Arabidopsis thaliana: one gene and its partners. The protein of the gene in region 3 binds, or shares a complex with, the protein of the main gene of each other region. Each region holds a gene or a part of one and is shown on either strand. Other genes may lie near its edges. The genes, in order: AT5G11350, AT1G73875 and AT1G61470.

The links.
Region 1: AT1G61470 (region 3) and AT5G11350 share a complex: the UniProt entries of both Arabidopsis thaliana proteins name them as parts of the CCR4-NOT complex.
Region 2: AT1G61470 (region 3) and AT1G73875 share a complex: the UniProt entries of both Arabidopsis thaliana proteins name them as parts of the CCR4-NOT complex.

The regions. Positions count from the first base shown.
Region 1 is NC_003076.8:3,617,626-3,628,949, forward strand, and holds AT5G11350 (DNAse I-like superfamily protein), read left to right. Parts: upstream 1-3,893; 5' UTR 3,894-3,957; coding exon 3,958-4,059; intron 4,060-4,142; coding exon 4,143-4,584; exon of another isoform or gene 4,585-4,591; coding exon of another isoform or gene 4,592-4,652; coding exon 4,653-4,819; intron 4,820-4,967; coding exon 4,968-5,033; intron 5,034-5,167; coding exon 5,168-5,220; intron 5,221-5,293; coding exon 5,294-5,375; intron 5,376-5,452; coding exon 5,453-5,502; intron 5,503-5,656; coding exon 5,657-5,738; intron 5,739-5,951; coding exon 5,952-6,044; intron 6,045-6,130; coding exon 6,131-6,163; intron 6,164-6,249; coding exon 6,250-6,338; intron 6,339-6,480; coding exon 6,481-7,243; intron 7,244-7,336; coding exon 7,337-7,422; coding exon of another isoform or gene 7,423-7,429; intron 7,430-7,537; coding exon 7,538-7,622; coding exon of another isoform or gene 7,623-7,649; intron 7,650-7,712; coding exon 7,713-7,787; downstream 7,788-11,324. Other genes in the region: AT5G11330 (FAD/NAD(P)-binding oxidoreductase family protein), read right to left, coding at 1-184, 284-494, 581-885, 994-1,236; AT5G11340 (Acyl-CoA N-acyltransferases (NAT) superfamily protein), read left to right, coding at 1,601-1,754, 2,765-2,887, 3,226-3,443; AT5G11360 (Interleukin-1 receptor-associated kinase 4 protein), read right to left, coding at 8,211-8,489, 8,578-8,810, 8,901-8,979; AT5G11370 (FBD / Leucine Rich Repeat domains containing protein), read left to right, coding at 10,224-10,327, 10,588-10,884, 10,979-11,126, 11,194-11,274. UniProt on the Arabidopsis thaliana protein: Acts as a catalytic component of the CCR4-NOT core complex, which in the nucleus seems to be a general transcription factor, and in the cytoplasm the major mRNA deadenylase involved in mRNA turnover.
Region 2 is NC_003070.9:27,777,010-27,788,488, forward strand, and holds AT1G73875 (DNAse I-like superfamily protein), read left to right. Parts: upstream 1-3,845; 5' UTR 3,846-4,102; coding exon 4,103-4,394; intron 4,395-4,532; coding exon 4,533-4,696; intron 4,697-4,769; coding exon 4,770-4,835; intron 4,836-4,908; coding exon 4,909-4,961; intron 4,962-5,302; coding exon 5,303-5,384; intron 5,385-5,609; coding exon 5,610-5,659; intron 5,660-5,778; coding exon 5,779-5,851; intron 5,852-6,076; coding exon 6,077-6,169; intron 6,170-6,254; coding exon 6,255-6,287; intron 6,288-6,408; coding exon 6,409-6,500; intron 6,501-6,732; coding exon 6,733-6,865; coding exon of another isoform or gene 6,866-6,949; exon of another isoform or gene 6,950-7,056; coding exon 7,057-7,142; intron 7,143-7,271; coding exon 7,272-7,356; intron 7,357-7,499; coding exon 7,500-7,562; 3' UTR 7,563-7,911; downstream 7,912-11,479. Other genes in the region: BBX16 (B-box type zinc finger protein with CCT domain-containing protein), read left to right, coding at 2,205-3,122, 3,253-3,513; UGT89B1 (UDP-glucosyl transferase 89B1), read left to right, coding at 8,134-9,555; AT1G73885 (AT-rich interactive domain protein), read left to right, coding at 9,855-9,978, 10,074-10,315, 10,408-10,573, 10,653-10,699; AT1G73890 (Bifunctional inhibitor/lipid-transfer protein/seed storage 2S albumin superfamily protein), read right to left, coding at 10,894-11,039, 11,127-11,225, 11,313-11,479. UniProt on the Arabidopsis thaliana protein: Acts as a catalytic component of the CCR4-NOT core complex, which in the nucleus seems to be a general transcription factor, and in the cytoplasm the major mRNA deadenylase involved in mRNA turnover.
Region 3 is NC_003070.9:22,673,961-22,682,317, reverse strand, and holds AT1G61470 (Polynucleotidyl transferase, ribonuclease H-like superfamily protein), read right to left. Parts: upstream 4,227-8,357; 5' UTR 4,134-4,226; coding exon 3,297-4,133; 3' UTR 3,016-3,296; downstream 1-3,015. Other genes in the region: AT1G61480 (S-locus lectin protein kinase family protein), read left to right, coding at 45-282, 362-512, 605-898; AT1G61475 (ATP binding / protein kinase), read left to right, coding at 1,547-1,613, 1,720-1,818, 1,927-2,090, 2,152-2,262, 2,351-2,548; AT1G61460 (G-type lectin S-receptor-like Serine/Threonine-kinase), read left to right, coding at 5,130-5,773, 5,870-6,378, 6,507-6,617, 6,720-6,865, 6,945-7,155, 7,254-7,491, 7,582-7,678, 7,757-8,050. UniProt on the Arabidopsis thaliana protein: Ubiquitous transcription factor required for a diverse set of processes. It is a component of the CCR4 complex involved in the control of gene expression.

The DNA of each region.
Region 1 (11,324 bases), on a different chromosome or scaffold from region 3:
CTCCAACCAACACGATGTTTCCCCAAAAGATTCGTTCTAAAGGGTCAGAGTCGTAAATAACATTAAGGAAAGGATCCTTTGTTTCACTCATGAGTCTCGCTAGTTCGGGGATCCAAATGGTTTCTGCTTCTTGATGCATCTTATTGATCATTTCTTGACTCACTTTTAGAGTAACAGAGTTGCTCTGATATCGTAATTCCATAACAACAACAAAATAGAAATCAAGAAAACTACACTTGTAGACGCATCCTAATCAAAAAGAGAGAGGAATTAGTCTTCTTACTTTCAGGTCAGGCTCTGGTTGATTGACATACCAAATCCAGTTGAGTTTCTTGTTAAAAAGCTCGTAAAACACGCTATGAGTCTGTTCACCGAGATCAAAATACAAGCATTTTCCAAGATCCGGATACACTTTCTTAATCCCACTAACTGTTTCCGAGTTCTCATTCCCTGAGAAATCAAATACACCTCTCCAAGCACAATAACCAGAGTACCTTTCACATAAAACGAAAAAAACAAAATCCTATATGATCAAGTCCACAAAATATCGATAAATGAAGATCACACTCTTATTTCAAACCTCAGTTTAAAGTCAGGCAAGAAAGTTTTCCGAATCGAAGACAAACACCCATCAGCTGCAATAAGTAAGTCTCCTTCAATTTCAACAGTTTCTTGAGTTTCCACAACTAAAGTCTTAACCTTTACATTAGATTCATCTTGTGACATTGTGAAAGACAGAAACTTATGTCCCCAAAGAAACATGGTCTGAGGCAATGCGTTATACAGAAGAGATTGAATATCTGACCAATAAGCTGCTCGGAAATCAAAATCCTCATCTCTTGTTAAAATCCTTGTCACTTTCTTCTCACTATCAGTTGTCTGATTCTACAACAAACCCACAACACACAAAAAAAGTTAAAAACTTTAGGTAGAGCTGGAAAAACTAAACGCCGATTGTTTCAATTGTCGAACTAAACTCAGTGTTCTTATTACCTGATCAATCGAGAGAGGCAAGGTGATTTCATCTAAGAGCTGTGGAGTAGTAAGCCATGATTTGATGATCTGCCGAGCCTGAGGGTCGAGTCCGAGCCCAGCACCAGTAGGACTCCCAACAGGAGGTTCGGAAGATTTCTCGAGAACCAAAACATCCCAGCATGCTAACGTGAGCGAGTGTGCGCAAGATAAGCCTGCTATACTTCCTCCTACTATGATCGCTTTCCCTTTCTTCTTCCCCATCTCATCAAATCAAATGTTTCTTCTGCTTCACAAATTGTTAACGATAAGAGAGAGTTTCAACTTAATGAAACCTCTGGGTGGATAAGAGGATTAGAACTATGTGGGATGATTCCAGGCCCAATATTCCAAGCCCAATCGTTTGGTCATATAAATAAGAAACTGATCTCTGTTGTGCGTCAAAACTATGTATTAGAATTTCATTTTGTCCAGGCCCAGAATGAATTATAGGCCCAATAGTCTATTCTCTCTCCCACGAACATTATTTATAGATTTTTGGGTTTCCCCTAAATCTCGAGCTTTTTCTTCCCTTGATTTCTTTGGTCTCTGTCCGTACGACGTCGAATATCTAGATTGTTCGACGGCGATGGGAGCTGGGAGAGAAGTCAGCGTATCGCTAGATGGAGTCAGAGACAAAAACTTGATGCAGCTTAAGATACTCAACACGGTTTTGTTCCCGGTTCGTTACAACGACAAGTACTACGCCGATGCAATCGCTGCCGGCGAATTCACCAAGCTTGGTTCGTCTTCTTCTTACTTGATTTTTCTTAATTTCTGTCTCTCTTTGCTTTCCCCAGTAATTCCTGCTTAAATTTCTTAATGGGCATGTGCTATTACGATTTCACGGGAATGTGCCTCTGAATCAGAACTAAAATTCATCGAATTTTGGTATTTTTGCTCTCAGATTTCTGTCTTTTTACCTGAGCGAGCATTAGTAGTCGAGTTTGTTCCTTTAATAGGAAAAGTTTGCTTTGGGGGGTTTATGATGAACTGTTCTGTGATTAGGCTTGGTATACTCTACAAAGAAAGTACCTTTTGCAATCCTGCTTTCCTTTGGTTGTTTGTTTAGTTGGTTCACTGGTCATTGTAATAGGTGTGATTATCTGTGTCTTCTCTTTTGTTCGGTTCCGTGAATTTATTTGACTGAGCCATGTTTTATTTAGGTTCAGTACTAGTGTCTGATACTAGGAAGAAGATGATTTTATCGGTAATATTGGTAGAAGCCTTCTTTCTAAGCCTTGAATGGATCGATTTTGTTTGCTTTCTATTGTCTGTTGTTTCGTAATTACCGATTCATGTTTGAACTTTGTGGTTGATGACATTGATGTTGACAAAGTATCATCTTGATCGTTGTTTTAAGTTGTTTGACTATATGAATACTGCATTCTTTTGTTCAACCAAGCAAAATTTTTTGTATGTTAAGCATGTGTACCTTGTAATCTATCGCTGATTGACTTATATTATCTTTCGAGAACATGGTCCAAGACTAATTTTCGTATTCACAGAATTTTTTCAAGCTCACTTTTGTGAAACCCTTGGTTGGAACATCTTTTGCGTCAACTAGTTCTTTAAATGTACAATAAGATGTGATTATGAAAGTCTAAAGACTGTTAACAACGTCTTAAATTTGGTACTAACTATTTCATTGCAGTTGCTTGGGTAGTTATGTTCTTGGTGTTACATATATTTTCTCTAATTTGTGATCAAGGAAAATTCTTCATGTTCTAATAATGGATTGACTTCCTCTCAGCATATTACAATGACATATGTGTTGGAGCTATCGCCTGTCGGCTGGAGAAGAAAGAAAGTGGGGCCATGCGAGTTTATATAATGACGCTTGGTGTTCTTGCACCCTACCGTGGGATTGGCATTGGTAAGTCATAAATCTGCTGTGCAAAACTTGAATACCGACAAAACATGAATAATGAAGAAAACTGTTAGCATGTTGTGTAATTCTGTTGTTTTCCTTACGTTTTAACACATGAGGCCAGCTGTAGTATGTTTATTCTGTAGTTCTCTATTTGAAGTGTCTCCATTTAGAGATTCAAACCACCAAGAAATAGTCCTTAGGGTTTTATGCATATCGTTGTTTTACCGAGAAACTGGAATTATGATTCCTCCTATATCAAGATTTAAGATCGAATTCCCTGCTTTAGAAAGAAAAACTCGATGTCTATAATTTGTGTATCTTGTTTTTTTCGTCTTTTGCAGGCTCAAATCTATTGAATCATGTTCTTGACATGTGCTCCAAGCAAAACATGTGTGAGATATACTTGCATGTGCAGACAAACAACGAAGACGCAATCAAGTTCTACAAGAAGTTCGGCTTTGAGATCACAGATACCATACAAAACTATTACATCAACATTGAGCCAAGAGATTGCTACGTTGTCAGCAAGTCCTTTGCTCAATCTGAAGCCAACAAATGATGAAAAATACCAAACTTGGGGAAGCCATTCCTCCCCAGTTTCTTTGTTGCATTCAGTTCAAGATCTATTAATGTTATGATGATCCTTCGGTTTCCGAGTTTTGCTTGTTTTGTTGACCTTAATTTTTCTTACTGATTCTAAATTTATAAATTCCTGGTTATATACTTGCATGATTTCTCTAATGTCCTCTTGGCTTTGGACATTTTCGTTTGGAAAAGTTTTTAACTTTGCAACTCAAAGCTTTACTACCAAGTATCATCGTGTTTGTAAATGTTGGTCTATGAATTTGAGTAAAGAGAGACAATGATTCTTGTTATGAGCTGTAGAATAAAGTAAAGAAAAAAATGAAGAATTTATGACTTGCGTTTTGGCTTGCGTGCCATTTATTCACAGTGAAGACTGGAAGATGTGTTCTTCTTGAATCAAAAAACGGCACGTCTTATGAGTCTCCGTTCATCGGTGTCTGCAATTAAGCACCGGTTCCTCGAGCTTCCTCACTCAATTCGATTGACCAATGCGGCGTTCTCGTTTTGTTGCTCAAGTTTTCTCCGACGTTACCTTCGCTGACGCCTCCACTATCTCTGCTCCAATCTTCACCATGTCTACTCGTGCTCCGGTAAATTTTCTCAGCTATTCTCTTGTTCTATCACTCCCGCTGCGTTGCTTCGGTTACTGGAATATAATTTGTTTCTTACGAAGCAGTACAGAGGTGCCCGAGGACGAGGACGAGGCCGAGGTGGGAGAAGTTTCTCCGATCGTCCGTACAATGATGACGCGGGAAGAGATCAGTTCGTTACTGGAGATTCTCATTTTCAATCAGTTCATGACGCCAATTTCCGATTCCGGCATGGTGAACCTTATCGACAACATCAGCCTCCGCTTGATCAGCGGCAGCAACCACCGTTCAATCAGAATTACGAATTTCGACCTCCGCCGCCGTCACGAGGTCAGTGGCAACAATTCCGTCAACCTAATCAGTTTCCGTCTAATCAAAACTACGCGGCTTGCCCTCCCCCTCCGTTCTATCAAAACCAGATGTCCCGGCCGCCTCCACAGCAGAGCTTTCGTCAACGGCCACGGTCAAAACCTTCAGATTACCGTGAATGGGAATATGCCAAAACGCCACCGTCTCCTGGCTCCGGTAATTTATGCGTGACCATCTCATTTGCTCCGGTATACAATTTTTGATTTGCTTTCTCTTGTCTACAGAAAAGTTTGTTGTTTTATCGTATAATATATTGGCGGATTACCTTGCAAATGATCACTGGAGAAGTCTTTACTTTCACATACCGAGGAATATGTTGAGTTGGGGATGGAGAAAGAGCAAATTAGTGTTCGAGCTTAGCCTATGGTCTGCAGATATAATGTGCCTTCAGGTTATAGTTTCTGCTATATCTTCTTGGTAATTGCTTGTATGAGGGACTAAGGAGACAAAACTTTCTTGCTTTACTATTTTTTTATCATATGTATACAGAATGTATCTTCCATATGTATAGTAATCTAAAATTATTTTGTATATGTCAGGAAGTTGATAAATTTCAGGACTTAGAGGAGGAGATGAAGCACCGGGGATATAGTGCTATTTGGAAGGTAGGTTTGTTGAAAACTTTTAGTTGTCTTGAGTTTGTATTCTCTACGGACTCTCTTGGAGTAAAGATTAAATGGTATGCATCATAAGAACTAGGCTTCAAATGTGGGGTTAACTCTATTTTATAAAACTGTAGATGCGGACTGGTAATGCTGTTGACGGATGTGCAATATTTTGGCGATCCAATAGGTTTGATTCCCTTGCTCTTCCTTGTGTGGATCAGTCTGGAATCTTGTTTAGGATTTCATTGTTATCATATTAGATTCAAGTTGGTTCACGAGGAAAGCATCCAGTTCAATCAACTTGGTCTCCGAGATAACGTTGCTCAAATATGTGTGCTTGAGGTAATATGGATACCTTATGTTGATAGTGACTTATATACATTTGCCTCTTTGCCCTAAATTAAATTTGCTCTGTGTAGACATTGTTGACTTCACATACAAAAGAAAATGAGACCCCTCCACCTGAAAGGTAACTTAAAAGTATCTGTAAATGTTACTATCATATCATTTTATGGGTGGATAATTTCACTAGGAAGTGGCCGATTTTCTTCAGATTTCAGTGGTTTTCTGTATGGACTATACTTTGTGGGTGGGTTGAAGTGAATTACCAATTTCTTTTACAGCTCTGCTGGTTCCCATCGAGTTGTCATTTGTAACATTCACGTGCTTTTTAATCCTAAAAGAGGAGACTTTAAACTTGGTCAGGTACTTTCCTTTAATGCCATATTCTAGTTTGTAGAAATCTTTTGCCAAACGACAGTTTTACTCTCTGGTTTAACTCTGTCTATACGCTATGAACATGTATAAGTGTTAGGTGTTTGAGATAAAACTTTTGAAACCAAACGCTTCGCCCCTTGCTTAACTTGGTTTCTTTAACTGTTTCCATTTATCATCTATGTATTTATCTCTGTTACGTAGGTCAGAACACTCTTAGATAAAGCTCATGCTGTTTCAAAACTCTGGGATGATGCGCCTATTGTTCTTTGTGGGGATTTCAATTGTACACCAAAGGTAGGACAATCTTACCTTAACCAGTTTGTATACCCCAAAAAACTTGTTTTGTGACATGGTCATAACATTCTTCCACCTGGTTGCAGAGTCCTTTGTACAACTTTATTTCAGACCGGAAGGTAAAGCTTCATTGTTAGGAAAGTCCTTCACCTATTCGCAACATTATATATATGGTTCACATTGTGTCTTGTGCTGCTCTCTGCAGTTGGATTTGTCTGGTTTGGCCAGAGACAAAGTTTCGGGGCAAGTTTCTGCTGAGTTTCGTCCACCAAGGCCAGAAAATTATACAACGAGGTAGAGCAAACTCACCAAGTTCTTCGACATCATTAAGTATATGGTTATGCAACTTAACACCTCCATGTCTACCCTAGAATATCGGGTTCTACTCTGCTTTTGCAATTGTCAGCATGGTTGATAGGCCTCCTCAATTTTCCAGGTATCAGTCCGCCAACAAATCTCCACAAGGTCAAGTTCAACCACCAAATTTGATCACAAATGCTCATATGGAGAATAACTCCAACATAGATGTTGGAACGGCCCCCTCCGAGAAGACATCTGAGCTTCCATGTGGTGATACAATTCTTGCTGGTCACGAAGCCACCTCCAGCTCTGACCAAGTATTACCATGCGAGAATATGGCCTCAGATTGTCAGTTTGGAATAGAAAACAGAAAACCTGATGATTCCGGGAATCTCTCGACAGCTGAAGATCTTTCTTCACTAACCATATCAGATACAGAACCTCAACATGCTTCCAGTGCTAGAGAAGATTTGAATACAGATCGTTCTGTAAGTTCCGGTTTATCAGAAACAGAGCAAACTCCTGAGGAAATATGTTCCAGTGATCAAGATATTTCATCTAGTCTCTCCACCAAGGTTGACACTTTTGTGGCTGAAATGAAACTAGATGGCTTAAAATTGGACGAACCAGTAGTATTCGCGCAAGATGAAGAAAGTTTAGGTGAAGATGGGGAAACCTTTTTGGCTAAGCTACACGATAACAATGAAAACTTGAGTCAAAAAGGGGAACTTGTGAGTGAAGTTCCACTTAAATGGAGTTCTGAAGCTTTAAATAGTGACAAAATCACTTATAGTCCATCCTCTTGGACTCCAATGGAGATAGCAACTGCAACTGGTGACCCAGAGAGAACTACGGTTGAACATGCTCTGGAGCTTAAAAGCACATACTCAGAAGTGGAGGTATTGTAATATATCCTCCCTACAGTTTTTCCCTTTTATCTTCTGTTTCTTGAGAAATTATATCCTTAGGAAGCTGTTGAAATTTGTGGTTAGGGTCAAGCAAACACAAGGGATGAAAACGGAGAACCTGTAGTGACCAGTTATCACAGATGTTTCATGGGGACAGTTGACTACATATGGTATTAGCATTAGAAGCAAAACCATTTGTGACAAACCTTAAAATTAGATTACTTCATTATTGTAAATTATGCGCGTTTTGACATATTCTCATGTTTGATTTCTGGTTTGGGTTAGGCGGTCGGAAGGTCTTCAAACAGTGCGTGTGCTTGCTCCAATACCAAAGCAAGCAATGCAGTGGACTCCAGGCTTCCCGACTCCTGTAAAATCCCATGATATTCTTATATAGCCTACCTTTTTAACTGAATTGTTTACAAAACTTTTTTATGTTTGTATTTCTGGTTTGTTACAGAAATGGGGAAGCGATCACATTGCACTGGTTTCAGAGTTGGCCTTCTGCAGCAGCAAAACTCTGCCCAAAAGCTGATATTAAACTGGTGGTGAGTTCATTAGAAATCTAAGAAAGTGTAAAGAGATTAGATGGTTGAGGTCTTGGGTTCAAAGCACATCCTTGTTGCAATGTTTGTGCTCTGAAGGTCGCCAATAGCTTATTTTATATCCCAGCAAAACATCTAAGAGTAAACTTTTACAGAATCTCATAGGCTCTAGTTTTGTATTTTTCTCTATCATATTTTACAGTGACAAATTATATTTGAGTTTTTCTTTTTGGGCGACACTCGATTTCAGAAAATCTGCTATAAAAGTTTAAAGCATGCTTCTTGATTTTAAATAGCTTCAATTGTTAACCCCTAACTCTTTCAGCTTTAGTCTAGACTGACTCTTTCAATTATTACAAATAAACACCTAGCATTTATCCATGTCCCTGTGTCCAATATAAGGACATCTCACATTAGGACCTAATCCCTGCAATATAATTCAGAGCATCCAAAACTTCTTGCATCAATGGTCGTTTCTTCTTGTCCCGATTGGTGCATCTTTGGATGAGTGTGACAATCTTTGTGGCCGCATCCACAGGATAATCGCTTCCTATTCGGGGGTCGATTATTTCCCCAATCTTATAATTATCGGGCAAGAAAGACCCAGTCCAATCTGAGCTTTGATTCTTCAAAGCTGTTGATCTATCTTGTGAACCAACTAAAAGCTCAAGCAAGATCACGCCAAATATGTCCTATCAATCAATAAGTACACAACACATATAGAGACAAAAGAAAAATTTAAATATGTTGAGTAAAAAAAAAAAGACAGACTTTACTTACCACCCACTCTTGTAGAGCCTGTGAACTGCCATGAAGATATTCGACAACAGAAACAGGGGTACCGGTTTTAGTTCTTGATGGTGCAAATGTGGTGTTATCGATGTAGCCCTTGTAGAATGATCGAATATAGTGATCATCGCGAATTACGACCCTGTCTTGTCTGGATTTCTTCGTTGCTTTCATCCATTCCTTGAAACTGAAGACTCTCAGATTCTCGCTTTGTGCCTCCACTTCTTCATATTACATATATAGACTTGAGTTACGTATTTTAAAAACATTACATGTAAACAATTGTAAAGTGAATTTATAAAACAGAGATGTACCTGGAATTAGAGGGACGGTGAGAGGCTGGTAAGCAAAAGAAGAAGGTTGTTGCTTGAAAGGCTTGACAATGTTTCCCATTGTTGAAGATACAAGGGTTCAAGGCTTGTTTCTCAATCTCTTTGGCTCTCAAAATCGGAATGGAATTCACAAGATACTTACTTCTGGTTTCAAGACATCTTGTTGGATTTTAAAGAGGTCAAAAAAATTCAACGCTTTGAAAAAGTTATGTTGAGACAGAAAAAGAAACAACCACTATTGATGACAGCAGTACTAGTTACTAAGCTCGGGGAAAAATTCTTAAAATCAAGTAAAGAATCTCAGAAAAGTGGCAAGACTCAGTTTTAGTAAGTTATTGACTTATATTGCTTTAGTTGATTACAACTTTTTCTGTAAGACACAAGTAAACAATTTCAGAAAAAGTGTTGTCAATTTCAGTAAGTTATTGACTTATTGCTTAGTTGATTATAAATACAGAGGCTCTAAATGGAACTTTGAAACGTATAGGGCACAGAAGAACAGTTGTTATTTTTGAGTAAAAATGTACAAAAAGACAAAACCAAAAACGCGTTTATTTGCTTTCCTTCTCTTCTAGTAAGCTGAACTGAAAAGCTATTTGAATATATATTTTTACTCTTTTTTCTCTTTGTAAATTCTAATAATCGAACAAAATATAACGAATTTTCCATATAAAAACAAGTCATTGGTGATATATTAATTTGTCTGTAAAACGTATTTCATTAAGATTTGTGTTTTTTCAAGTTACAACTGAAAAAATAAAAATATAGCATCCATTTGAATTTATTTTATAAAAATAAATAATTCTTTATTAAATAGCAAATAACTTTTCTCATTTTTTTTTGTAAATATTCTCTTTTCTATACACTAAAGTCTTTACAATATCACATATTTCATTGATTTTATTTCATTGACTATGTAAAGATATTCATTTATATATACAATTAGTATTTTTTTTAATTGAAAGTTAGTACTAGTATGTGACTCTGTGGGTCGATCCATTGGCTGGCCCACGAGGTCCACTACTTAACCGGTCTGAAAGTTTTATGTACATACCGCATAAGAGACCGGTAAACAGAGCGCTCTGTTTTTGTTTCGTTCCTAGGGTTTTAACAAATTGAAGGATTTTCTAGGGTTTGGTTCCATTGGTCTGTTTCAATTGTTTGTGTACGTAAGATATAGACAAGATCATTGGGTATTCTGATGATGAATTGCTCGTGAAGATCTTATCGTTTCTTCCAACAAAAGTTGCTGTAAGCACGAGTATTTTGCCAAAACTTGACTACGATAACACCGTCAATTTTGATATGGAGAAAAGCAAGAGGATGGAGCTTTTTATTGACAGGAATCTGCCAGCTTGTGTCTCAAGTCTATCTGTTCATCTAATCAACCTAAATGTATCAAATTTTGGGTTGACATTGCAGTTTCACGGTGTTTGCGTGAGCTAAGTGTTACTTATTATAGGAGAACATTGATCAGGAACTATGCATTACTGCCGAGTAGTTTGTATACTTGCAAATCTCTAGTGACATTTTTTTTTTTTTTTTTTTGAATAAAATGTAAAATTTATTCGAAAAAACTTTTTTACATCAAGTGCAACGTTTGTTTAGAAGATTTTTATACAGGTCAGAAGATAAGAAAAAAAACCTAAGCTTTTGCAATTATCTTGAGGCAAACCAAGCTTGCATACAACGATCATATCTTCGGTCACCTTGTTCACGGATCGAGGATATCCGGTTTCGGACTTGTTTGTCAAGTAGTCTGGTCATTGAAACTGAAAGACGAGATTTTCGTGGACGTTCCTCGTATGGTTTGTCTCCCCTCCTTGAAAACTTTGCACCTTAAAGGTGTGATGTATGTAGATGAAGGATCTCTTCAACGGCTTTTATCCAATTGCTCTCTTCTCGAAGAACTGGTTGTTGAACGATGTAATGGTGCCAATATGAGAAAGTTTGCCGTTATCATCCCGTCATTGCTTATATCAATTGAGATTTATGGTTCGTTATCATACTGTATGTGATAGACACTCCTTCTTTGAAGTATTTCAAAGCTAAGTTTTTAGTCAGAGTAGTCTCTCGTATTTAATTGTGAATATGCCTAAGTTGGAGGAGGCCGATATCGCTCGTGGATCTCATGATGTCAAGAAGCTTCTCAAATCTATCTCTTCTGTCAAACGTCTTTCGTTATATTTAGAAGTCAACAATAATGAGGTAATATTACTTGATGTCTCTTCAGTCTCACTTTATCATTTAGATTACTAAACCTTGCTTTGTGCAGGATCTATATGGTGATGATATTGTCTTTAACGAGCTTGAGCATCTCAAGTTTCGCATAAGCAGAGCCGTGCCAAGGTCAATGGTTGCCGGAGGCGGCCAAATGAAATTTGCCCCAATTCACAAACAAAGATG
Region 2 (11,479 bases), 5.1 Mb from region 3:
CGCGAATGTAGGAGGACGCGCAGTAATTAACAAGTCTTTTTTGGCTTCTCCAATCGTTTATACGGGTTTATTACACGTGGCAAATCCTTGCCTAAAATTAACGAGTATTTTAACAGATTATAAATTGGATTAAGAAACGATTAACTTGTAACATATAATTGGGGTACGACGACCAACGGAACATTTTAATATGTATCATGTATGATTTGGGCACACGTCGTGTTGTGGTACTTTACTTCCACCGTCTACAATATTATAGAGTTAGCATACTTTATACTTAAAACCATAGGTTATGAAAACAAAACCAAAAATATAGTAGTGGTAAATTGATCTTTAATTTCGTTCAAAATAGACAAGAAAATACTTCAGATTTAAGGAAAACGTTGTAGTGATACATTTATTTATCATATCGAGCTTTAATATAGGAATATTTGTTTTTATTGTTGTTACTTAATACTTATTAATTAGTGTTGGGATAATTTTAACTGTTTCAAGTACCGATCTATCACACTTCAACGCAGAGCAATCGGACGTATGAAAGCAAAAAGATTTCCCGCATCTATGTTAGCAAGTGGTCTCTCATATCAATCAAGGCCTATTGTGCCTCCACTTCCGAAATTCACTCGTTCGTCAATAGGTTATATTATTAATTCTACACATGTATCACAAAAATGTGCAGATTTCAACTTGGTGGTGAATGGTGATATAATTAAGGTTTGTATATCATGTCACATAACTTGCGTAAATTCCATATAAAGTAATATAAATAAAATGGTGGTGTAAAGCAGAGGAACGAGTCCTATGATAGAGAGATGTTCAATTGTTCGTGGGTCATGTGGCGTAAAATTGTTTGTTTCCTTGTTTCTTTTGGCGTAAACTGCAAAATTGCCAAAAATTCGATGAAGTCACAACCTCTTGATTTGTATATATTGTCACGTCGCTATATCACCACAATCAATTCCTTTCTTTAAAGGACTAGAATTCCATTACTCATATCATTTCCGTTATGTTAGATCCACAATAAATGATAATAATTAAATTTAGGACCCATTTGAATCTTTAGGTGCTGATTAAACACCCATCTCTAAGATCACAAAAGCAGAAATTTTACATTTTTAGTGACATATAATCCTTTTTTCTATCATCAAACATTAGAAGTTGGATGTTAAATGTTCTACAAAACTTCACAGGTGTTGTTGGAAGTTCCAAAAAAGAATGTCGTTTGCTATACAAAAAAAGAAAAGAAAAGATGAAAAGTAACTTCCTGCGTTTAAAGTATCACGCTGCGTTGCGGTCATGCAAACGCACCAACAAACAAAATAGTTTCAAAACAAAACTTGAAAATGTGGGGTCCACGTAAGAATCTCCATGGAAGAACTTGAGCCAATCAGAGTGCAAAAACGGAGATGACAGTATATTTCAACCAATAAGGAGGCAGAATCAGATCACCAGTGGGTTCCATTATAAGTTTCCTCTTGACTAACCACCAATAGCTAGTTTTACACAGAACTTAAATTTTTCATTTTTTTTTGTCTTTTAATATTTCAACAAGATCAATTTTATTATTTGATATTAACCATCTTCAACAGTGTTTGCCAACGAAAAAAAAACACCATCTATAACAGTGTCTTCACCAAACTGTATTTCACTATGACTTATTTTCCGAAAAGAATGATGAAGTTTAGTACCATACATGAACTAGCGGTTAGATCGTAATTAAGAATTTGAGGATCATATTTTACTATATCATGAAAACGGAGAGAGCGCAAAATTACAGACATATTGGTTCAAAATTTTATTTAAGAATAAAGTATATATATGGTTCTAATTTTTCAAAAAAAAAGTATATGGTTCTAAACATTTATTTGAAAGTACGTAATATAATGAAAACAAAAATTGTAAATTTGAAGTAAAAAACTCGTGAAAAGTCCTCATTCTAAAATACCATGTACACGTACATAATAAACTATGAATAGAATTATGAGTTTTTATTTATATTTCTATCTCCACTCCAAATAATTTAGACCACACAAGGTAATGAAAAAATAATAATTCTGAAAAAAATGAAAAATACTGCCGGGAAATCGAGACGCCACACACACTAGTGAATTCGTTGCAAAACCATATATATTACAGTATTTTGTTCTTCTCAAGGCCTCTCTCTCCATCTCAGCAACTCTCTCACTGTGTAATATACACACACAATGGTGGTCGATGTAGAGAGCCGAACCGCGAGCGTGACAGGAGAGAAGATGGCGGCGCGTGGCTGTGATGCGTGCATGAAGAGATCACGTGCTAGTTGGTACTGTCCAGCCGATGACGCTTTCCTATGCCAAAGCTGCGACGCCTCGATCCACTCGGCTAACCATTTAGCGAAACGGCACGAACGTGTCCGGTTACAATCATCTTCGCCGACGGAGACGGCAGACAAAACGACGTCGGTATGGTACGAAGGATTCAGGAGAAAGGCGAGAACGCCTAGGAGCAAGAGTTGTGCGTTTGAGAAGTTGTTGCAAATCGAGTCAAACGATCCTCTTGTTCCGGAGCTTGGTGGAGACGAAGATGATGGCTTTTTCTCGTTCTCCTCCGTAGAAGAAACCGAGGAGAGTCTGAATTGTTGCGTGCCTGTTTTCGATCCTTTCTCAGACATGCTGATTGATGATATAAACGGCTTTTGCTTAGTTCCTGATGAAGTCAATAACACTACTACTAATGGAGAATTAGGAGAAGTCGAGAAGGCAATCATGGACGATGAAGGTTTTATGGGGTTCGTGCCATTGGATATGGATCTTGAGGATCTCACTATGGACGTGGAGAGTTTACTTGAGGAAGAACAACTTTGCTTGGGATTCAAGGAACCAAACGATGTTGGAGTCATCAAAGAAGAGAATAAAGTAGGGTTTGAGATTAATTGTAAGGATTTGAAGAGGGTGAAAGATGAAGATGAAGAAGAAGAAGAAGCCAAGTGTGAAAATGGAGGATCAAAGGATAGTGATAGAGAAGCATCAAATGATAAAGATAGAAAGACAAGTTTGTTTCTGAGATTAGATTATGGAGCTGTGATTAGTGCTTGGGATAATCACGGTTCGCCGTGGAAAACCGGAATCAAACCGGAGTGCATGGTAAGTTGGTGTCTCTAGCTATATCTCTCATCTCTATGTTAGTCTTTAGTAGTGTCGAGTTCCGTTGACTTTGAGCTGATATATATTGATTATAAAAGACGAAATAACGTTATAAAGTTCACTGATCCAGTTGGGAGGGAACACGTGTCTGCCTCATGTTGTGGGTGGGTACGAGAAATTGATGTCGAGCGACGGATCGGTGACACGTCAGCAAGGGAGAGACGGAGGAGGATCGGACGGGGAGAGAGAGGCGAGGGTTTTGAGGTACAAGGAGAAGCGGAGGACGAGGTTGTTCTCAAAGAAAATAAGATATGAGGTTCGGAAACTTAACGCTGAGCAGAGACCTCGAATCAAAGGTCGTTTCGTGAAGAGGACGTCACTTTTGACGTGATTTGATTTACTTTAATCAACACTTTAAAGATCTTGTAATTAAGACCTTTGAAGTAATTGTCGTAATGTACTGAATAATGAACTGAAACTCTTGGGGCCGATGGTTGTGTAGACTTGTAGCCGGCAACTATGATTTTATAGATTGATTGATTGAGTAATTTATTGTATATATCAAATGAAAACTCTTTGTTTATCAAATGAATTGGAGAAAAAAGCCATAATGTGTGATAATAACGAACACTAAAAAATTCGTAGCGAAGACATGTTACAAAGAAAACAAGTGTAATTAAAAAAAACAAAAAAAAAACAAGAAACAAGTTCAAATTAGAACATGCCATTTCCAACAATTTACAAATGAAGCAAGAAATAAAAGCCATTAAGGCCTAGTTATGGCTGAATAGCCCATCACACAATTAAAAAAACCAACATAAAGAGCCCAACTAGGCAACTACTTAAGCCAACCGGTTTGGGTTATCAAGTACGTATTTTAATCGTTAACCAGTAAAAATCGTGAATTTCAACCGACTGAATTTGGTTAACTTCACAAGGTTGACGCATAGCTCACGCGCCGCCGACTTGCTACGATTGACATGAGCGGATACGAGCGTAAGAACACGACGGCGAACTCAATCACCATCACCAAGCGGAAGCGTAACTCGATTTCGGAACAATCGGAGAACGTATACGAGAAATCGAATAGGAAGGAGTCAATAACCTTAAAACCTCACCGTTCTTTTACGCCGGGATTCAGCCAGCGTGATTGTAAACCTGTCAGACATAGTAAGTCTTCTCTCCGCCGGCGACGGAGAACTAAGGAGAAGATCTCGAGTTCCGTTGAGCGCGAATGGGTGTTTTCCGCAAACAATTTTGAAAATCTAGCAGGTCTGTGTGCATTGCAATCACACTGAATAATGCACTTATATGCTTTTATTAGCTTCACGAAGTATCACATTCCGTACTTTGAACACATTTTTATCTTATGTGTATGAAAAACTTGATATCTCCTTTTCAATTCTTCAGATAAATTAGTATTAGTTTCGTACAATCTACTTGGTGTTGACAATGCGTCGAACCACATGGACTTGTATTACAATGTTCCGCGGAAGCACTTAGAGTGGAGTAGACGGAAACATCTCATATGCAAGGAGATTAGTCGTTACAATGCAAGCATCTTATGTCTTCAGGCAAGTTCCAGGGGATTGCCTAGATCTACACTATTTAAGTTTCATTGCATTCTCATGTCCAAATTTATTGCAGGAGGTTGACCGCTTTGATGATTTAGATGTTCTTCTTAAAAATAGAGGATTTCGAGGTGTTCACAAGGTATATATACGAGTCAAAAGCTTTATTACCTTGTATGCAATGGTGCCTTTTTCATACATTTAGTATTTTTTAGAGTCGGACTGGAGAAGCGAGTGATGGTTGTGCTATATTTTGGAAAGAGAATCTGTAAGTTCAGTTTTTTTCTATTTAGGATCATTTTTAATGTGGTGGGAAGTCTCTATATGCTGGAGTCAGGATCAGGAATCTAGCCATTTGAATTGTCTACAGGGAATATCTCTCTTTTGGAACGAGATAAATTAGATCTTCTAGTTATCTGTTTTGAATGTTTCGAAATTGTTAATGGTAGGTTCACGTTGTGTTATGTTATCAGCTTTGACCTTGGCTTCACAATATATTGTTCAAGGCTGAAAGCTTTGCTTTCTATTGTTCTCGATGTTATTTATTTTGTATTAGACTCTTACTCTACTAGTTTCATCATTTATGTTATATTTCTGCTGTGAATGCAGATTTGAACTTCTAGACCATCAACATATAGAGTTTGATAAATTTGGTATGCGAAACAATGTTGCTCAACTTTGTGTTTTAGAGGTATGCACCGTTTTAAGTTATTTCTGTATTGTCGTCTTCCCCCTCTTTTCTCCTCTGTCTTTTCTTGATTCTAGAAGCACAGAGATATGACAAGCTTAATTGTGGGCATTATTTTATATATTTTTCCCTCCTGTTGTGTTTTCAGCTTTGCAGGCTAATTGCTTAATTTTCTTAGTTTCAGCCCTTGCAATTAATTAATTTACTTGATTGTCTATTACGGAACAGATGAACTGTGAGGAGGACCCAAAGTCTAAATTACGGGTGCGATCATCAGAGTATGTCTGAGTTCTGTTCTGATTCCTTTACTGGAGTGAATATTGAACTTACTTTTAAGATCCTTACTAAATTTTATGCGCACTTCCATGTTTGGTTGATTTATGCAAACTTCTACTAGTCCTCGAAGGCTAGTGGTTGGGAATATACATGTCCTATTCAATCCTAAGCGTGGGGATATCAAGCTTGGCCAGGTATGTCTTGCTAGATCCTTACAAAATTCTGATAAAAACTGGCTTATCCATAAAATCGGTAGAGCATTTCTGTCACTACACATCCTGAGTTTAGAAATGTCAATTTTTTAGCTAGTACTATTTTATGGTATTCATCAGTACATCAATGCCTGTCAGTATTGAAACTTCATTGAAATTCTAAGTAGCTCGCTCATTTCTTGATATTTGATATGTCATAACTTATAGGTAAGACTCTTTCTGGAGAAGGCTTACAAGCTATCACAGGAATGGGGAAATATTCCTGTGGCGATTGCAGGTGATCTGAATAGCACTCCACAGGTGATCTCTACCAACTTTTGTTTTTTTTGTTCTAATACTTATTTTTTAGCTGAATTCTAAAACTTACTCTGGATTTGCTGTACAGAGTGCAATCTATGATTTCATAGCTTCAGCTGATGTGAGTTCCATTGAGGGTTCTGGACTCTTTCTTTTACATTTCGCCTGGTCATAATTTTTTTCCTTTCTTTACTGGGAAAGTTAGAATGAACTCTTTATATTCCTTTTTTAATTTTGGACAGTTGGATACACAACTTCACGATCGCAGGCAAATTTCTGGCCAGACTGAAGTGGAACCAAAGGAGAGGTCATTCAGAAACCATTATGCATTTAGGTAGCTTGTAATTCACCGGGGTCTTTGGTTTCTCTAAATAATGTATCCATATTCCTTTTCTGCCTACCTGATGAACGGATAGATTGCTTATATCTCTTCTGTTTACCTGATGAACTGATAGAGTGATAGATTACTTATATTTTTCTTTGGCCTGCGCTTAATCAACTACGTAATCCTCAGATGAAGTTTCTATCTCAATTTAGTCTAACTAAACAACTCCCTCTTTCGTCAGTGCTTCAGCATCCATCTCCGGATCACTACTCAATGAGTGGAGCCAGGAAGAATTACAGCTTGCAACTGGTGGTCAAGAAACCACTCATGTCCAACATCAACTGAAGCTTAACAGCGCATATAGTGGAGTTCCTGTAAGTGTTTTTGTTTCTTGTTCTCGACTGGTGGACGCATCGAAAAGAGTTGAAATCTGCCTTACAGGAAAACTAAGTTCTTAGGAACTGTGGCTTTCTTTTATACTAGATACTGAAAAACGTTTAGGGAAAGTAGCATGTTGTATGATGTTATATATCCTTCTAGTATGCTAAGACCTGAGATCTTGCAGGGTACATATAGAACTAGAGATCAACGCGGTGAACCATTGGCAACAACGTATCATTCCAGGTTCCTTGGAACTGTTGATTATATATGGTAAGTCTGTTGTGCTTATGAAATCCGAATCATTAATCAGAGCTTTCAATTATATATGGCTATCAATGTTGTGATATATGCACATGTAATTTTGAAATCTCAATAATTAATCTGAGGTTTTGAACCCAGGCATACCAAGGAACTCGTTCCTGTGAGGGTTCTTGAGACCTTGCCAGCAGATGTATTGAGAAGAACAGGTGGACTACCTAGTGAGGTAAGTTTTTTTTTCTAGGCTAAACTTTTTTTCTGGGGCAACCCTTTACTTTCTCGAGTTACTCTATTCATTTTTTCAAGAATGTAAAAACTGGGATTATTGGAAGAGTTGCATACAAGTCTCTGACCAATGAAAATTTGCAGAATTGGGGAAGCGACCATCTCGCTATCGCATGTGAACTCGGCTTTGTCAATGACTGGCAATGAGCCAAAATGTTAGCACCAACCACTAAACCGAGCCACCTGACTTGGCCATCCCTTGAGGTTTTTGAATGCTCATCGAGGCTTCTGAATTGGAGTTCGGAAACAGATTCAGTAAATTGTAAAACATAAACAAGTTTTGGGCTCATTCCCATACATAGATTTGCTTACTTGAAACATTTTTTTTTACCTTACCTACCCAAGACTTGCACCTACTCTTTCTGCTTTTAAAAAGTTAATACCAAAATAGCATGTTACTGGACGTGTACCTATGAGGAGCGAAGACCCATTTTGCTACTAGAAGCAAAACAATGTAAGAGACGTTGCGTAAAAAGTATCTCAATCTGTTCACTCCAAAATAAGCTCTTCTCAAGTGTCATCTGACGCTGCATTAATCAAAATACCACACGGTATTATCAAAAGTGTCGTAAGCATTCTTTCCAAGTGTTGGGAATACATTGGGTACACAAATCGGCCATTTACAGTTAACACACATCTATTTAAATCACTCTTTTCTCTTTGCTCCACCAAAACATTCCGGCATAAACAAAAAAAAGTCCCACTAGAAAAGCTCATTATGAAAGTGAACGAGGAAAACAACAAGCCGACAAAGACCCATGTCTTAATCTTCCCATTTCCGGCGCAAGGTCACATGATTCCCCTCCTCGACTTCACCCACCGCCTTGCTCTCCGCGGCGGCGCCGCCTTAAAAATAACCGTCCTAGTCACTCCAAAAAACCTTCCTTTTCTCTCTCCGCTTCTCTCCGCCGTAGTTAACATCGAACCACTTATCCTCCCTTTTCCCTCCCACCCTTCAATCCCCTCCGGCGTCGAAAACGTCCAAGACTTACCTCCTTCAGGCTTCCCTTTAATGATCCACGCGCTTGGTAATCTCCACGCGCCGCTTATCTCTTGGATTACTTCTCACCCTTCTCCTCCAGTAGCCATCGTATCTGATTTCTTCCTTGGTTGGACCAAAAACCTCGGAATCCCTCGTTTCGATTTCTCTCCCTCCGCTGCTATCACTTGCTGCATACTCAATACTCTCTGGATCGAAATGCCCACCAAGATCAACGAAGATGACGATAACGAGATCCTCCACTTTCCCAAGATCCCGAATTGTCCAAAATACCGTTTTGATCAGATCTCCTCTCTTTACAGAAGTTACGTTCACGGAGATCCAGCTTGGGAGTTCATAAGAGACTCCTTTAGAGATAACGTGGCGAGTTGGGGACTCGTCGTGAACTCGTTCACCGCCATGGAAGGTGTTTATCTCGAACATCTTAAGCGAGAGATGGGCCATGATCGTGTATGGGCTGTAGGCCCAATTATTCCGTTATCTGGGGATAACCGTGGTGGCCCGACTTCTGTTTCTGTTGATCACGTGATGTCGTGGCTTGACGCACGTGAGGATAACCACGTGGTGTACGTGTGCTTTGGAAGTCAAGTAGTTTTGACTAAAGAGCAGACTCTTGCACTCGCCTCTGGGCTTGAGAAAAGCGGCGTCCATTTCATATGGGCCGTAAAGGAGCCCGTTGAGAAAGACTCAACACGTGGCAACATCCTGGACGGTTTCGACGATCGCGTGGCTGGGAGAGGTCTGGTGATCAGAGGATGGGCTCCACAAGTAGCTGTGCTACGTCACCGAGCCGTTGGCGCGTTTTTAACGCACTGTGGTTGGAACTCTGTGGTGGAGGCGGTTGTCGCCGGCGTTTTGATGCTGACGTGGCCGATGAGAGCTGACCAGTACACTGACGCGTCTCTGGTGGTTGATGAGTTGAAAGTAGGTGTGCGTGCTTGCGAAGGACCTGACACGGTGCCTGACCCGGACGAGTTAGCTCGAGTTTTCGCTGATTCCGTGACCGGAAATCAAACGGAGAGGATCAAAGCCGTGGAGCTGAGGAAAGCAGCGTTGGATGCGATTCAAGAACGTGGGAGCTCAGTGAATGATTTAGATGGATTTATCCAACATGTCGTTAGTTTAGGACTAAACAAATGATTTGATTTAGTCAAACAAAATTCTAATTATGGTTTTTTTTTCCTTAATACAGTATGTTCCTCACGAACTAAAAAAATATGCATGAGTGTATTTTATTAAATTGTTGTAAGATGATAAATAAGTGTTTGTGATTGTGATTCATAAATAAGTGTTTGTGATTTTTGTTAAACAAATCGGGTCAATTTGGTCGGGTCGGGTCATATCGGGTCAAGTTTAATAATACCCGAATGTTTTGTTTTCCTTATCTTCTTCGAATCTGGCTTCGCTTCCCTCTCTCACATATCCACACAACAAAGGAAATGGCTCTCACCGTGAGCAGCGGTGGCGGAGGAGCTAGAATCCGCTGCAACGACCTCACCGATTCTTCTCGTAACCCTTTCTCCACCTTCCGACTCGTAAACTTCCCTAATCCATCAAGAACCGGTCTTCACGTTGTCTCTGCCGCCAAAAAACCTTCCACACAGACCGGTCGTTTCGACAGCAAGAAGCGTCGGACTCTCGTTCCTACAACGACTAAGAACAGCAGGAAGAGGGAAACGAAGGTTTTGACGGCGAGAACCCGCCGTCTCAGATCGTTATCAACGACGAAGATGGAGATAGAACGGTGGTGAATACTCGATTCAGAGGTGATCCGAAAGATGCGCCGAAATTTGCCATTAAGGATCTTCCTGGACTTGAACCAGATCCTTTTGAAGGTGAGAAGTGGGATGGTCTAGGTTTCTTCGTTCAGTACTTGTGGGCTTTCGGAATCCTTTTCGCGGTAAATTTCTGTACTTTTCAGTTGCTTTATAACAATTCTCCAATTTTGAAGTTAAACCAATCAATTCACTATGGTTCAAAATGTTGTAACAGCTAATCTCTGGTGGACTTGCGGCGGGGACGTATAACGAAGGTGCGACGGATTTCAAGGAGACGCCAGTATATAAAGAGGCGATTCAATCTCGTGACCTTCTTGATGAAGCAGAGAGTTCAAACTCTGAAGATGTGTTTGAGTCCAACCCAACAGAAGTGGCTCCTAGTTTGGAATAGTTTCAGTTCAGTGTTTAGAGAAAGAATTTAAAGACTGAAACTTTTTGCTATTGGGGTGTTTTAAAAAGCCATATTCCAAGTTGATCTTGAGCTTGTTGTGTTCATAATGTTATAGATTCAAAGTTAAAAGAAGAGTATTGTTCTTCATTGTTCTGTTTTCCGATTTCATTTCTGAACTGCAAACTTCTTTAGGAATCATTCCAATAATCTCTTCTTTTATAAATGTAAGGTAAAGTTATAAAGTTGATCTTGATTCATTGAGAAAACACAAAACAGAAGAGACCGAGATGGTAGTTAATGCAGAAAGACTCAGATGAGGAGGAGAGCGGCGGGTAAGATCGCTGCGAGTGCAAAGATGGTTAGCTGAATCTCAGACTTGGAGCCAGAGGATTTCAAACCATAACCTAATCCCATAAAACTGGTGGGTCTTGGTGCCATTTGAGCCACTGGAGTAGCTGATAAAGTGAAAAGTAACACTATGTTAACTGTTTCCATGTTTTGGTTTTAGCAGATACTGAAAACTTTGGTAAAAAGTGGTTTACCAGCGACACGAGAGTTGTTCTTTGCACCTTGAGAGATTTGAGAACCAGTTGAGCTTGAAGGTGGTGGAGCAACAGAGGAGGAATCACTAGGCGCCTCTCCTATATACCGAAAACATTCTCGTAAGTTCCAAGAAACCAATTTGATCTCACAGAGGAGAGGACAAAGTAGAAGTGTTGTTTACGTACCAGGGAAGGAGGAGGAGCAAGTGGATGAATTGGCTGGAATGTTGCAAAGCGGAGGCAATTGTAGAGCAAGAGTTTGATTAATTGGAAAAGCAGGGGACAAAGTAGAGGTGTTGTTGAGGAAGAGACAGAGACAGGTTGCTTCTTGGCTATAGATCTGGTTTAAGCTG
Region 3 (8,357 bases):
GGAACTGTCAGTTCTGATCGTTTCTATACGGTATTATTGCTTAGATTCAAGAAAAAGGCTTGAGATTGACTGGCCTAAGAGATTTAATATCATTGAAGGCATTGCGCGTGGGCTTCACTATCTCCACCGTGACTCATGCCTCAGGGTCATTCACCGTGATCTTAAGGTTAGCAATATTCTTCTGGATGAGAAGATGAACCCAAAAATATCAGACTTTGGATTGGCTCGGATGTATCAGGGAACCGAATATCAGGACAACACTCGTAGGGTTGCAGGAACTCTGTAAGAACATGTCTTTAATTACATGCTTGTGAATGATTCATAGTTATAATCATATTTAAACTATTTGATATATGTGTAGAGGATATATGGCTCCCGAGTATGCATGGACTGGGATGTTCTCTGAGAAATCAGATATCTACAGTTTTGGAGTTATACTGTTGGAAATCATCACCGGGGAGAAGATCTCAAGATTCAGCTATGGTAGACAAGGAAAAACCCTTCTTGCATATGTAAGTAAGGCTTTTAGGTTTTTATACACTTGTAGATGTTTCAAAAATGTTTCTTGCTGTTACATTCTGAAGACCTGAAACCTAAACAACAGGCATGGGAATCTTGGTGTGAAAGTGGAGGAATCGATCTTTTGGATAAAGATGTTGCTGATTCATGTCACCCATTAGAAGTTGAGAGATGTGTGCAGATTGGTTTGCTATGTGTTCAACACCAACCTGCTGATAGACCAAACACAATGGAGTTGTTGTCTATGCTCACCACAACATCAGATCTTACATCACCAAAACAGCCCACATTTGTAGTGCACACGAGAGATGAAGAATCTCTGTCTCAGGGTTTGATCACCGTCAATGAGATGACCCAATCTGTGATCCTTGGGCGTTAAGAAACTGTGTGATATGGAAAATTTTTACAGTTGAAATGTTTGGATTGTACATTAGGTTCTTGGCCTAACACGCTAGCTAACAGGGATATGAAAATGACAATGTTGTTATGTGAGCTCAATGAAAAAGAAACGTTTAATGATAGCAGTCTAACGTTCTCGTCTAGGTTCCCCCTCCTCCACTTGACGTTTTGAGCTATATCCATGGACTTTATAAACCGCTATTTTTGCAGCTTTGAATCAGTCAATATTGCTGACCTTATGCTCATCTCTTGTGGTCAACATTGCGAATAGGTGCTTGAAATTAGTTCCCCTGCGTACGTTATTATTATTTTTGGCTTATATTCTCTTGTTCAAAGTTCAAACCATCACTTTTAAAACCACCAATATTGTCTCTTGTTCAAAGTTCTCTGATTTGATCACATATTTTTGTGTTTTTTTGAAGTAGTCATTTGAAAATCGTATTACACGTCTTAGAAATTTACATCAAAGGGATCAATGAAGAGGTTTCATGCTTAATATAAATGGAGTGAGAACTAAAACTACGAGGCTCTAGTACTTAAGTTTGCTTTCCTAAGGATTTAATAGTGCGCTGAAAGCGTTCGGTATGTTATGTTTCAAAGCTGATCAGAGCAAGTAGACCAGGACCTAATGGACACAGTGCAATTTTCTCCAGGAGGAGAAATTATTTCCATTCGTCTTGCACGTTCTGAACTAGGTACATATAACAGGAAAGAGCTACTCCGTCAATTAAACGATGATAGTGTTCTCTTTGGTAGCAGTATGACTTGTTGTTTATTTTTCTTTTGTCTTATAAATCTCAGATGCAAATGAGCGTAACATGATCATTACAGCTAGTATTGTAAGCTTTGCTCTGTTTGTGATAATGGCTTCTGCTGCGTTTGGTTTCTGGAGATATAAAGGTACAAACTGATGTTCTTGCTACCTTTCTATTGATTTCTTGTTTTTTTTTATTTACAGTACTCATATCTTGCTATCGGTAACACACTGATGACCTATATTATAATCAGCTAAGATATCAAAGGATGCTTCACAAGTTGCATGGAGGAATGATTTGAAACCACAAGATGTATCAGGTTTAAATTTCTTTGAGATGAATACCATTCAAAATGCCACCAATAATTTCAGTATATCAAACAAACTCGGACAAGGTGGATTCGGTCCAGTTTATAAGGTCAGAGATTTTTTATTTATAACCTCTTTGGTCTTTTCTATTATTTGCTTATGCTCTCCAGATAACCTTCTGCAATGTGTTTCAGGGAAAGCTGCAAGATGGGAAAGAAATTGCTGTAAAAAGGCTTTCTAGCAGCTCGGGCCAGGGCAAAGAGGAGTTCATGAATGAAATAGTACTCATCTCAAAACTACAACATAAAAACTTAGTTCGGATTTTGGGATGTTGCATGTCGCCCATTAGAAGTTGAGAGATGTGTGCAGATTGGTCTTCTCTGTGTCCAACACCAACCTGCAGACAGACCAAACACACTTGAATTGCTGTCCATGCTCACCACAACATCAGATCTTCCACCACCAAAACAACCCACATTTGTAGTGAACACGGTAGTTGATGAATCACCGTCTAAGAGGTTGATCACTGTCAATGAGATGACCCATTCTATGATCCTAGGGCGGTAAGAGATTATGTGATGAAACCTGTAGAGTGAATGTGTGTTTGATTGTTCACGAAAGGAATCAGTTTTCGAATGTATATAACTTAACCTTTCATGCTTTTTGTAAAAGATTTTTCACTTAAGTAAATAGAGAAAATTACTATAGATGAGCTTCCAATTTGGTTGACCAATGATTTACTATAGAGTTTGCATTTCCAGTTGTTCTCCAGCAGAATTGTCTAATCTTGTGAGGAGCTTATCTGCAGAGCCAAATGAGCTCATAATTTTGGGTTTCCATTGGTTAGATACTATCATATCCTCATAGTATAAAAGTAGAATTAGTCAATGCCTTAAATCTAAATAAGGGAGCCATGATTGAATTTGCACGTATTAAAAGTGAAGAAGAAACTCAAGTCCACAGGAGAAAAGTGTGACACTCCAACCAAAACAACTCATAATTGGTACTAACAAAATATTTCACATAGATTCCAAATTTTGATTAGTGTATAGCGAAAAAGGAAAAAACTGGGCTTGTTACATATCTTCAGCTCAATTCGGAGGAAACTGATAGATAGTAATTCCAAGACAAAGATGTTACATGAGAGGCTTTTGAGTAGATTCTAACTTTAGATTCATTAAAGTATTTACTAAAGAGCAATAGTCATAATATTGAGAGAATTGTTTTGATGGACAATAAAAGCTGAAAGTTAAATCCTAAGCATATAAAGAAAGAATTTGCATACTAGCAACAAGACATGCTAAACATTGAGGGATCACAATACGTAGTTCCTTCCTTGGACCGGTATCGGGATGTAACATCTAGTCATCATAAGCTGTTGCTGATGCTGCTGCTGCTCTAGTTGATATTGCTGATCATCAGCTCTTCTTCCAGTACTCTCCTTTCTACTATTGACCAAATCGAAAATCAACTTAGTGAAGACACGAGCCGTCAATTCGCTGTCTGATCCAGCGTGATGAGCTTTTCCAACACGCCTCATCTGCAACACATCCGCTATTCTCTGTAGTCCGAAACGGCTACTTAGTCCGCTGCATAATCCAGCCATTTTCTTCACATCATAAACAAACCTTCCCAAAAGCTGCTGGACGGTTTCATCAAACTCTTTCGAAGTCTCGGGTAATGGTTTTCTAGTTAAACCTTTAAGTAGATAAGCTTTGTCGTAAGAGCCTTGAAAAGTCACCCATCTCATTTTTCCATGTTTCTCATTGAGAATCTGAGAAAACTCCATGAAGAACTCTTCGATTCCAATACCTTCTTCTCTGATCTTATCCAGATCCAAACCATTGTTTTTTAAAAACGCTATAGATTTATCATTTTTCAAGCTCTTAGATTCGTTGAAATCTGACAAGTTGATCTCCCAGGTTTTAGTGATTCCTTTGCCGAATAGCGTTAACCCTAACTGGATGAGATGGGTGTTGTCCACATTGAATTTCATGTCTCTATAACGAATTTCATCACTTGCGTCCATGGGAGTCTCCTTTAAGCATCCGGGAAACTCTGTGTCGATAGCGATGGAATTACAATGTTTCAAACAATCTCTTATCGAATTCATCTCTGCTTGCTTGTTCCATCTCCAAACTTCACCGCTCATCTCGAACGAAACTAAGAAACTGTTTGTTTATCTGAAAGAGAAAGTGAGATAACAAATGAATTTTATTTGGTTGGCGTTATATTATTAGAGAATTTATAGGGATTAGATTAAGACACCGACTTCAGTTTCCTTATTTTTAGGATACTATAAAGTTTTCATTTTTTTTCCATCAAAAGTTCGTGTTGACTTTTTTGACTCCTAATTCTTGTTAAACACGAGTTTTCAATTTTTCTCTTAAAATTCAAAAACAAAAAAACGCGTGGTTCCGAAGCGGTTTTCAATTTTTAACACTAAACCGAATTAAATTCCTTGCCCGAACCGAATTAAATTCTAATTTCTCTCTCAAAACTCAAAAGCCTTGTTTCCGAAGCGGTTTACGATTTCAACGCTAAACCGAATTAAATTCCTATTACAAATTAAAGTCTAATTTTCCATCCCGAAATACACGAAATTGACAAAAGACTTTATTTTAAGTCTTCCCGGAAGGTTCTTCTCTGGGTTAGTGGCTTGACGACACAAGTCAAGCAACCTGTCATACACTGACACAAGTCAATCTTGACTGTTGAATTATTCGGCTGCTTTTGGATAGTGACAGTTAAGCCCATATGGTTGGAGTACGAATCAATCGATTGGGGTCATTAAGGTCTTCAAGACATCACCGAAGCTCTGACTTTTTGTTATGCACTGCAAGTGTTCGAGGAAATGCCTAAACGAGATAATTCATAGTCTGCAGTTCAAGAAAAATATAGGTTCTTCTGGGCCTAACAAGCTAGTAAGGACTGGAACAATGAAAACGTTGCGTATCTGATACGGTAATGACTTCTTCGTGCCAATGTATCTATCATGTATTTATTAAATAATGCATATTTTTGGAAAATAAGTAAAGTAGTTCTGACAAGACACAGTGTTTTTTTTTTCCCCGGCTCTCTTGCTTCATACACACTAATCCAAAAAAGATAGTTATTGGAGAAAGAAAAAAACAAACAAACGGGGACGATGAGGATCACGTTCTTTGCTTCTTTGCTCTTATTTACCAATACCATCTTTATAAGTTTTAGCTTTGCAATTGCAGGGATAAACAAAGAGAGTCCTTTGTCAATAGGACAAACTCTCAGCTCCTCTAATGGAGTTTATGAATTGGGTTTCTTCAGTTTTAATAACTCGGAAAATCATTATCTTGGAATCTGGTTCAAGGGAATCATTCCCCGGGTGGTTGTGTGGGTGGCCAATAGAGAAAATCCTGTTACAGATTCCACAGCAAATCTCGCTATCAGCAGCAACGCAAGTCTTCTGTTATATAATGGAAAACATGGCGTTGCATGGTCCAGTGGTGAAACTCTTGCTTCTAACGGGTCTCGTGCAGAGCTTTCAGACACCGGAAATCTTATTGTCATAGACAATTTTTCGGGAAGAACTCTTTGGCAAAGCTTTGACCATCTTGGTGATACTATGCTTCCTTTCTCAGCTCTGATGTATAACCTCGCCACTGGCGAGAAGCAGGTCTTGACTTCTTGGAAAAGTTACACTAATCCAGCGGTTGGTGACTTTGTGCTTCAGATTACAACGCAAGTGCCAACACAAGCTTTAACTATGAGAGGCTCGAAGCCTTATTGGAGAAGCGGTCCATGGGCTAAAACAAGGTTCACGGGGGTACCACTAATGGATGATTCATTTACAAATCCATTAAGCCTTTAGCAAGATGCAAACGGGTCAGGATCCCTTACTTATTTAAACAGAAACTTCAAACTTCCACGTATAGTGATAACATCGAAGGGTTCACTGGAGATTTCTAGGCATAGTGGGACTGATTGGGTATTGAACTTTGTGGCTCCAGCGCACTCATGTGATTATTACGGTGTATGTGGACCTTTTGGGATTTGTGTCAAGTCAGTGTGTAAATGCTTCAAAGGGTTTATACCAAAATATATTGAGGAGTGGAAAAGAGGAAATTGGACTGATGGTTGTGTGAGGCGTACCAAACTACATTGTCAGGAAAACTCAACTAAAAAAGATGCAAACTTCTTCCATCCAGTTGCCAACATAAAGCCTCCAGACTTTTACGAATTTGCAAGTGCTGTGGATGCAGAAGGATGCTACAAAATTTGCCTCCACAACTGTTCTTGCTTGGCCTTTTCTTATATTCATGGAATTGGGTGCTTAATATGGAACCAAGACTTCATGGACACAGTGCAATTTTCTGCAGGAGGAGAGATTCTTTCCATTCGTCTTGCACGTTCTGAATTAGGTACGGCTTAAATGATATCAAGAAAGAGCTACTTCTTCAATTACAACTTTATCTAGAACTCCATTGATACTATTCGTTCCGGTAGCAGCATGGCTAGTTGTTCAATTTATTTTTGTCTTATATCTCAGGTGGGAATAAGCGCAAGAAGACCATTACTGCTAGTATTGTCAGCCTTTCTCTTTTTCTGATATTGGGTTCTACTGCGTTTGGTTTCTGGAGATACAGAGTTAAACATAATGGTAACACTCTGATGATCTTACTAGCTCTATATCGATCTCTTATTGTTTTTATTCATATTCATGGCCTTATTATTATCTCTTTATCTATTCCTGAAATTCTAGCTTCACAAGATGCACCGAAATATGATTTGGAACCACAAGATGTCTCAGGTTCATATTTGTTTGAGATGAACACCATTCAAACTGCCACCAATAATTTCAGTCTCTCAAATAAACTGGGACAAGGTGGATTTGGTTCAGTTTACAAGGTTGGAGAATTTTAATCTTCTTTGCTCTTTTGTATTTTCCGCTTATGTTCTCGAAATGACTTTCTGCAATCTGTATTAGGGAAAGCTGCAAGATGGGAAAGAAATTGCTGTAAAACGGCTTTCTAGCAGCTCAGGGCAGGGCAAAGAGGAGTTCATGAATGAAATAGTACTCATCTCAAAACTACAACACAAAAACTTAGTTCGGATTTTAGGATGTTGCATTGAAGGAGAAGAGAGGCTGTTGATTTATGAGTTTATGTTGAACAAAAGCCTTGATACTTTTCTCTTCGGTGGGTTCTTTCTTGCCTCATTCCTTTACTATCGGCAGCTTTTTTTCTCTATATGGAATTGTCTTTTCTGATTGTTTTCACGCTGTATTGTTGCTTAGATTCAAGAAAAAGGCTTGAGATTGACTGGCCAAAGAGATTTGATATCATTCAAGGTATTGCGCGTGGAATTCACTATCTCCATCGTGACTCATGCCTCAAGGTAATTCACCGTGATCTGAAGGTCAGCAATATTCTTCTTGACGAGAAGATGAATCCAAAGATATCAGATTTTGGATTGGCTCGGATGTATCAGGGAACCGAATATCAGGACAATACTCGCAGGGTCGTAGGAACTCTGTAAGAATCTATTTCAAAAACATAATTGACTAAAGACTCAAAGTTATAATCAGATATTAACTTGGGAGAAACTATTTGATATATGTGCAGAGGATATATGTCTCCAGAGGATATATTAGAAATCATAAGCGGAGAGAAGATCTCAAGATTCAGCTATGGCAAAGAAGAAAAAACCCTTATTGCATATGTAAGTACGACTTTAGGTATACAGTTGCAAATATCTCAAATCGTTTCTTGCTTTTATAATTTTAAGATCAAACAACAGGCATGGGAATCTTGGTGTGAAACTGGAGGAGTTGATCTTTTGGATAAAGATGTTGCTGATTCATGTCGCCCATTAGAAGTTGAGAGATGTATTCAGATTGGTCTTCTCTGTGTTCAACACCAACCTGCAGACAGACCAAACACACTTGAGTTGATGTCTATGCTCACGACAACATCAGATCTTCCATCACCAAAACAACCCACATTTGTAGTGCACTGGAGAGATGACGAATCATCGTCTAAGGATTTGATCACTGTGAATGAGATGACAAAGTCTGTGATCTTAGGGCGTTGAGAAATGATGTTTGATTGAAACTTTAGTCTGTTTTGTAAACGATTTTTTCTATTTATGAAAGGTATATTCCAACAGATGAACCTCCATTTTGGTGCACCAGTGAATTACTGTAGAGTAAGAATTTACCATGGTTAAAGATTAGGTGACTAATAATAGTACTTAGATTCGAAGCCAATGGCTAAAAGTTTCATATTTCCAGAAACACTAATCAGATAATAGATTCATCATTTCATCTTCCATGTAAGCCAAAATAGAGTTCTTCACATCCATGTTCTTCTCTTCCAACATCCGAACTTCGTTTTCCAGA